Linked DNA regions of Mus musculus. The main gene of each other region encodes a partner of the protein of the gene in region 2 in a complex. Links are inferred from orthologs where the notes say so. Each region holds a gene or a part of one and is shown on either strand. Other genes may lie near its edges. The genes, in order: Ghrh and Ghrhr.

The links.
Region 1: the proteins of Ghrhr (region 2) and Ghrh are in contact, whole or in part, in a cryo-EM structure (PDB 7CZ5), measured with the Homo sapiens proteins. The link is inferred for Mus musculus from reciprocal best matches to the Homo sapiens genes GHRHR and GHRH. Residues at the interface, in NP_000814.2 of Homo sapiens: Leu119, Ala120, Glu122, Glu123, Phe126, Ser127, Val129, Lys130, Tyr133, Val179, Lys182, Leu186, Phe187, Asp190, Thr192, Asp193, His194, Cys195, Phe197, His210, Thr213, Phe217, Ala271, Cys272, Asp274, Leu275, Asp276, Trp282, Ile285, Ile289; in NP_066567.1 of Homo sapiens: Tyr32, Ala33, Asp34, Ala35, Ile36, Phe37, Thr38, Asn39, Ser40, Tyr41, Arg42, Val44, Leu45, Gly46, Gln47, Leu48, Ser49, Ala50, Leu53.

What each region holds. Positions count from the first base shown.
Region 1 is NC_000068.7:157,343,668-157,348,275, reverse strand, and holds the start of Ghrh (somatoliberin preproprotein), read left to right. Parts: upstream 1-1,620; 5' UTR 1,621-1,704; intron 1,705-4,608. UniProt on the Homo sapiens protein: GRF is released by the hypothalamus and acts on the adenohypophyse to stimulate the secretion of growth hormone.
Region 2 is NC_000072.6:55,379,207-55,383,014, forward strand, and holds part of Ghrhr (growth hormone-releasing hormone receptor precursor), read left to right. Parts: intron 1-481; coding exon 482-579; intron 580-1,545; coding exon 1,546-1,643; intron 1,644-2,497; coding exon 2,498-2,630; intron 2,631-3,808.

The DNA.
Region 1 (4,608 bases), on a different chromosome or scaffold from region 2:
TTTAAGGGTCTGAAATGCAGCAGTTTGTTGGAAACAGGCAGGCAGGGGAGGGCAGCGGTCAGCACCAAGCTCTAAGCAGAGGCTGGCAGGGACAAAGAGCTAGCTGCCTTCCTGGATGAGGGCTGGATGAGCAAGAGACCTGGTGATGGGAGCCGGCGAGGCCCACTGGAGGAACTAGAAATAGAAGCAGGAGCAGCTGGAGTCGAGTCTCCTCTCTCCAGATGCCGCAGCCTGTCAGAAGCAAGACTCACTCGGGAAAAGGGCTTCTCTTCTGCACATAGGACAGAGTCTGTTTTGTTTCTCGCCTACTCTGTCTGGCTCCTCTCCAACACCAGTTCTTAAGGCTCTGGACATACACAATTCCACAGGCCCCTGTCCCAGGATCCAGAAACAGAGGACAGCAACATCCGGCATGCTCGGTCAGGCCCCGCTCTTCTAGCTTCATTGCAGTCCCCGGTCCCTGGCAACCACCCACCAAATCCCTTTCTGTGCCATGGTGTGTGGAAACGGGACACTGGACAGTCATTTTAGCTGATTTGTTCAATTTGTTTCCTGGGCTTTGGGCAACCCAGCCCATCTGTGGATGGCTGGAAGCGGCATCCGGACAGCACGCCTTCCTAGCCACCTCCTAGGGGCTCCCCAAGGGCTGCCTTCCGTTTTCTTTCCAGGGGTCCGTAGAATACAGTCCTGACTGTTTTCCAAGGCACGAACCGGCATAATAAGCACAAGGCGTCTCCATGGCACCTTTCATTGAGCTTATTGGAGCGTTCTGCAGATGCCACGGAACACCGAGCCAAGTCCCAGGAACACGTTCTGAACCCCAGGAGCTGCACACCGCTTTATTAGGTAGTTTATTGGCGCATCAAATCTGGAGTCTACCACCTTCGGTTCACAAATCAGTTCAGAGAGAGGCTCTAACTTGCCCAATATTAAAGAGTAACAGTGCCACCTGCTCCTCTTCCCTGATTGGCACGATGCCAGGGAATTGACTGGTGGCCTAAATGGGAAATCAAGGCAGGAATGGCTGGAGGTGATAGAAACCTCAGGCTGTTGTGAGCCCAACAAGAACAGACTCTGGCTGGGCAATGGTGGTGCATGCCTTTAATCCCAGCACTTGGGAGGCAGAGGCAGGCAGATTTCTTAGTTCGAGGCCAGCCTGGTCTACAGAGTGAGTTCTAGGACAGCCAGGGCTACACAGAGAAACCCTGTCTTGAAAAAACAAAACAAAACAAAACAAAACAAAACAAAACAAAACAAAACGAACAGACTCTGGAGGCAGGCTTTACTGAGCAACTCATTCAGTTGAGGAGCACAAATGCTATTTAAACTTTTGGGGAGTGAGTAGGGGCACTCAGAGAGAATGTGCATCACTGGCCAAGGCCACAGTGAAGGGAATATTTTATTTGCATGAAAAGGACCTGAGGTGCTTGCTATCTGGACATGACCTTACTCAGAGAGGAAATTTAACCTATAACCCGAAAACTGGTGATGACTACCTCAGAGTAGCAGAAGTGGAGCCAAAAGGCCATGTACGTGCTCTGGAACATACAGGCCCAGGGCAGAGAAGGAGGAGTCCTGCTCCTGCTGGCCTTAAGATGAGATCGTCAGGGCCTGGGCATCACTGGTGATCCAGGCCGGCTCTCCAGGTCGCAGGTCTCTCCTGGTTGCGGCTCCCTGCTCATCTGGCTCCCACAACATCACAGAGTAAGTAGACATGTAAATTTTGAACCTAGCTCTCCTGCTGCCGCTACTGAGGGACAATATCCTCACTAATTGGTTCATAGGAGTTCACAGACCTCTGATGAACAGCAATATGGCTAAATACCCTTCCTTGTGAAGTGCACGGAACTGCATAGCCTGGGTGGGAAATGAGCTGGGTCCATCTCTTTTGTTGCATTTAGCCATTCCTCTTTTGTTATTTTTATCTGATTTGGTTCACTTCAGACCTGGTACCCGTTTCTTATTTATGACTAAAGGCCCCTGGGTGAGAAAAATGGAATCAAGAAAACCGTTTTTCTTTTATGTTCTACAAATGTTTCTATACCTCATTCCCACCACCCTTTAAAATAACATTTCCTTCCCAGGCCCCCCCCCCAAAAGCTTCTAAAATCCCTGCCTTTCCAATCTCCTCTTCACCTTGGCTATAATTATCTTGGGAGAATTTAAATTCCTTATCATGGGTTTGTGATGGCTGTGGCTTAAGGACCGTTGGCCTGGCTTCCATTCTGAGGCTTCGTCAAATTGCCCTCTATAGGAATTACCGTTAGACTCTTTCTTTCCTTAAAGGATGATAATGGGATTGTGACTCTGTTAAAGAAAGAACCCTTCTCTTGCTTGAGATACGTGCTGAAATATTTACCAGTCTGGGATTTGCTTCAAAACAGTCCAGTGAGGGAGATGACAAACACCACAATTGCTCGCTGAAATTGTCAGTCTCCTCCGGCTTTCTCTCACGGATCTTCATTCCTTTTCTGGTGCTGAGGGTGGAACCCGGGACCCCAGGGATGCTCCGTCGGGGTTCTCCCACTAAGCAGTTGCCCTCCTCTCTTGCAGGGACCCATTTGTTTCTTCTCCCTCTCACCCCCCAGGCTTCAGATCTGGATGTTGTGAACCTGAGGGTGGGGTTTGCCTCTGGGAGACTCAGACAAGAAGAGAATCTTAGTTTTGAGATCCCATCTCTATGGGATGAGCATCTGCTCCTCTGGGTCCAGGCTGACAGAGCAGCTGCTTCCTCCCTGGGATCTTTTCAATTCCTTCCTTCCTTCCTTCCTTCCTTCCTTCCTTCCTTCCTTCCTTCCTTTTATATCTTTATGTAATTACACTGTAGCTCTCTTCAGATACTCCAGAAGAGAGAGGGAGTCAGATCCCATTACAGATGGTTGTGAGCCACCATGTGATTGCTGGGATTTGAACTCAGGACCTTCGGAAGAGCAGTCAGTGCTCTTAACCACTGATCCATCTCTCCAGCCCTTTTGACTTTGTTATTAGTGTGTGTGTAGAGGTCAGAGGACAACTTTGCAGGGCTGCCCCCTCTCCTTCTAACTTATGCGGGTCCCAGGGATGGAATGGAAGTGCTTGGGTCTGCGTGGGAAGCACCTTTATCTGCTGCGCCATCTCACTGGCCTGGATTCCCTTTTTCTACATCCACTTCCACTGTCTTGAAGGTAGGTGTAAATTTACCAAGGTCTCCCCATCCCCACCCTGCTTCTGACTCCTGTGCCCTTCAAGGAAGGAAGGGAGGGAAGAAGGAGGCAGCTTAGAGAAGCAACTCTCACTTCCAAGATCTGGACCAGACCCAGCCACCTGGTCCCCAGGGTTTCTTGGAGGTCTCATGATACTCCAATCCCAACATGTGCAAATGGTGCTCCCATCCCTTCCTTGATCCCCACAAGCATCCTGACCCTCCCTGCAGTCATCCGTAGACTCAGTGGGCATCCTTTCCCTTCACTTCTCTCACCTGGCTGCTCTGCTATGCTCGGCAAGGCTGTACTGGTCCAGGCTGTGCTGGTCTTGGCTGTGCTGGTCCAGGCTATGATGGTCCAGGCTGTGCTGGTCTAGCCTATACTCATCTTGCGGAGCCTCCCTTAGTTACCTTCCACCCTTGCACTGCTTCAGGCCCTAGGCTCACTGGCCTGGGCTTCCTGACTGGATTCATTTCCTTCAGGCTGCTGCCAATGTTCTGCCTCCCAAACCATCCCACCAGGCTTCTAGAGCCTCCAGTGGCCTCTCTCTGTGGAGAACAAGAAATGACTAACTTCCTTAGTGTGGCATTTGATATCCTGCATAGCTTAGTCTAAATTATCTATATTTCCTGCTGGTGGAGCCACAAACCCAGGTTCATATCAAAATAAATCAGGGCCTTGATTAATACTCCAGAATCCTAGGCCCTACCCTAAACAGTTGAATTAGGAATCAATCAATCCATCCGAGAAGCACACAAAGGACCAGACGACACGGCGCTCAATTGGGAATTAGCTATGTAAGTCTGAGCACTGGGACTCAGATCCCCAGAATCTAGGTCAAACAGCATCCCTGTAAGTTTAATTCCCGGCGACTTTGCTGACCAGCCGATCCAGTGGAATTGGTAAACACCAGGTTCAAAAAGAATGTCTTGGAGAATAAAGTAGAGAGCCTAGAGAGATGGCCCAGCAGTTGAGAGTGCTTGTTCTTCTTGCAAAGGACCTGGGTTCAGTTCCCACCTATCCCTCACATTGGGCAGCTCACAGCTACTTGTAACTAATTATAGGGAATATAATGCTTTTTTCTGGCCTCCACAGATACTTGCACATATATTTGAGACAGGGGCCCTCTACCTAGTCCTGGCTGTCCTAAAACTCAGTATGTAGATCAGGCTGGCCTCAGAGGCAGAGATCTGCCTGCCTCTGCCTCCCGAGTGCTGAGACTAAAGGTGGCACATGCCACCATCACCCCTCTATAATTCTTTTAAAGCCTATATTTTAGGAAGTAAAAGCGGGGAAGTGATGGGGGAAAAGCCCTGACACTGACCTCTAACCTCTGGCTTCTGCCCATGTGTGTGCATACCTGTGCATCTTCGATATACATGAGCCTCTACACACACACACACACACACACACACACACCTGCAAC
Region 2 (3,808 bases):
AAGGCAGGGACGCACAGCATGTGGTTCCTTCTGGTTTGCACATTACTGGTTCGGTGATGGACTATCCTGGATTTCAATCTTCTAGTGTTACCCTGAAAAATTTAGTCATCTTGAACGATGACTGATAGCACCAACCTCCCAGTGCAGGATTAATGATGACACTGGAGAAAGGGAGGTGGTACCATACTGATGAGGGTGGGGAACACCTCATCGTCCACTTCACCTGCTGTCCTTCCTGTCTCTTATGGGAAGGGGGTGGGTGTCATACTTCCTGCCCTTAGGATGTAGAGGTCCATCATTCCACTCAGCAGAGCTTTCCTGGAGAACAGAGACAGACTACACCAGTCCAGAACCCAAGCCATGGGACAAGAGGACTCTTCTGTCCTTGTGGTTAAGAACGTGTATATACCTCACAGAACCTTCCCACCATCTTCTGGGAAAGGGAGGAATTCTATAAGCAGAGACTCTTCTTTGCCTCTAGGGTTTGTGAAGAGGGACTGCACCATCACTGGCTGGTCTAATCCCTTCCCACCATACCCTGTGGCTTGCCCTGTGCCCTTGGAACTGTTAACCAAGGAGGTAAGCCCTGTATGTAGTTTACTATCTCAATGGATGCCTATCATCCCCACTGTAATCACCCCGTGGATGTAGTAATTACAGGAGCTGTCCAGCAGATGGCAGGAGATGCCTCCTGAAGCTGGTCCATTTACTTAAGGGTGAGGGAGAAGGGAAGCAGAGGCAGACTGGAAGCCATAGTCATCCACCTCTTGGCCAGCCTTTTCTCTTCCTAGTTTTTGGTGCAGGATGGGGGTGGGGTGGGGGTGGGGCGGAGCTTTAGTTATTTCAGAGGGAATAAAGATTGCTGCTGTGTTAGACAGGATGTGCTTGTTTTCTCTGGTCCTCCACCAGTGGTACAGTATACTGGGCTGTGGTATGGGCAAGCAGGTAAAACTCCAGGGTGTAGTCATTACAGAGACCCCTAGCTCTGGACATCATACTTTACACTGTGCACAGCTCAGGGTCTTCTCAAGGCCCATCCACACTCACAATCCCATTTCTCCCTGCCCTCGGCCCTAAGAGCAAAAACCCTGGTGTACTTACCTTTCAGATGAAGAGACAGGTCAGAGAAGCACAGGGATGGCTTGAGATGAACAGCAAGCCGGAGTGGCAGTACCTGGTCATACTACGCCCCTAGCTCTAACTGATTCAAATACTTGGGTCCCAAAGAGCCTTTCCCCGCCTGCCTGTGGCTGTTCCTGGTGTCCAGGAGGTTGCCTGTATATGGGGGTGACCGTGTACTCAAGCTGGTGTCAATAATCAGGCCCAACTTCCTCCTGTGCTTTTGCCGCTCTCCAGAGCCAGGTAGCTTCTGCTGGCTCCTCCCACTCCCATTGCAACTGGGAATCCTTATCTGAGCATCTCTATCTGAGGGGCAGTGTCTGTCCGAGGCTTTCTGTGGTATCAGTGCCTGGGAAGCTGGTGGCGTTGCCAGACTCCTGCTTGATTGCCAAACCTTTCTTCTGCTTCTATTGCCCCCCTCCCCAGAAATCGTACTTCTCCACGGTGAAGATCATCTACACCACGGGCCACAGCATCTCCATTGTAGCCCTCTGCGTGGCTATTGCCATCCTGGTTGCCCTCAGGTTTGCCACCCTTGCCATTTGCTCAAGAACCATCACTGCCTCCCTACTACCTGGGGACCAAGTCTGGTTCTTGGCCTGCATAGTCAAGAGGGGCTCAGATCCAGGCGAGATGACCTTTGTTGACCTCTTGCTCCCCTCACCCCACCCCAAGCCACACAGATGGGCCCTCTCTTCACACAGCAGGCCTCTGTTCTCTGGCCACACCTTTCCTCATGCGGATCTCCTCCTGTTTGCTCCCAATGCCTTCTTTTCCTTGGTGGTGTGTTCACCCCTGCCAACACTGGAAGCCCAGCTCTCATCCAGTTCTAAGAGATCTCCTTGACCCCTGCATGGCCCTTTTCTAATGGTTGCAACATTCTGACCATTGTAGTACTTTTTGGTATCATTTTTTTTCTTTTCAGTATCAGGGATTGAACCCAGGGTTCCCCAAATGGCCTCCACCACCAAGTTCACCCTCATCCCTTACTGCTGGGTGTAATGGCTTTCCAGGCTTCAAAGGTTGAGTTCCCCCATGGGACTATGCCTCAGAGGGTAGCTCTCTGATCATTAGAGGCTCCCTTAGGCTCTTGTAACCCACAGTTACAAAACCGTCTAAAGGCAGGGATATAAGAAACCCCTGCTCCTTACCTGAACTTAGGCCAGGAAAATGCTGGCCAGCTGACCTTCAAGGTCAAACTGACACATTTGTCTCACTTTCTACCCAGTTCATTGGGTCTCATTTTATTTGATGTGGCTTTGGCCACTCTGTCTTGGCTCACTTCTGTGCAGCTTCCCAGCCATGCCAGTCTTGGTCTAGGCCCTGGGAAGGTCTTCTGCAGTCAGGCCTCTATGTTCATCTCTCTTGCCCCTTTCAGGAGGCTCCACTGCCCCAGGAACTACATCCACACGCAGCTGTTTGCCACCTTCATCCTCAAGGCCAGTGCTGTGTTCTTGAAGGATGCCGCCATCTTCCAGGGGGATAGCACGGACCACTGCAGCATGTCCACTGTAAAGACTGTGACTGGAGGGAGTTGGGGCAGGGGGAAGAGGGCAGAAGACAGGCCTGAGTGTGCCTGACCTGTTGCTCCACAGGCTGAGGCTGTGACAAGGGCTGTGACAAGGGAAGGAAGCCTCAAGCTCTCCCCACGCATTCATAGATCAGTGTCCATACGAGCAGCTCCCTTTGCTAGGGGCGCCCCACACCATCATTCCTCTTTCATCAATGTTTCCATTTCAACTTGGTCACAGCAGCTCCTGTGCCAGCCAGCCATGTCATTGCCTTTAATGAGTGTGCAAGGACCTGGGTGGAGCTTGGCCCCTCCTTCCAGAAGCACTCAGGGGACAGGAAGCACTCAGACCTGGGGACTGCTGGGTAGGGAAAGCAGAGAATTAAGAGAATGAAAGAGCTTCAGGGAGGAGGTGGCCTTGGAGCTGCATGGGCCCAAAAGCAGTGAGATGGGGAGGAAGCTTTTAATAAGAGGAGAGCCATCACACCAGAAATTGGAAGTCGCAAAAGTAGAGGGGTGGGGAAAGGAGAGGAGAGGAACAGATTGAAAACTGAAGGGATCAGAGTTCAAGGTCTTTGAAAGTGTTCTGGAAATGAATAGACAAGTGAGTACCGGGACCAACAAGTGGGCTGATTTAATTAATGAATTAATCACTGATTGCACTCACTTAGGCCGGGCAGCACACCAAGTACTTTACATGTATTATCTCTTTTGATCTTAAAACGCCTTGAAGGCCTCACTTTAATCCCATTTTGTTAACGAGGGGCAGTTGGCCAGGTCACCCAGCCACACAGTTGGGGAATAAATAGAGCCTGGGCAACTGGGCTCAGAGGTGGTACCGTAGCCCATAGAGGCAGGTGAGGGAGGAGTGAGCCAGATGGTTGCATGCATGATGAACACATCCTATATCCACTGATCAACGCTGTCCGTGGTTATCACTTTAAAGGAGAACTTCAGCTAGGGAAGGGTGCACTATGACAGAGGAAATAGAAAAGTGTGTATGTGTGTGTGTGTGTGTGTGAGAGAGAGAGAGAGAGAAAGAGAGAGAGAGAGAGGGAGAGAGAGGGAGAGAGAGAGAGAGAGAGAGAGAGAGAGAGAGAGAGAGAGAGAGAGAGAGAGAGAGAGAGAGAGAGCGCAAGCCATGTGAGGTCCTGGAGTTCTTCCTTTTTTCACATACAG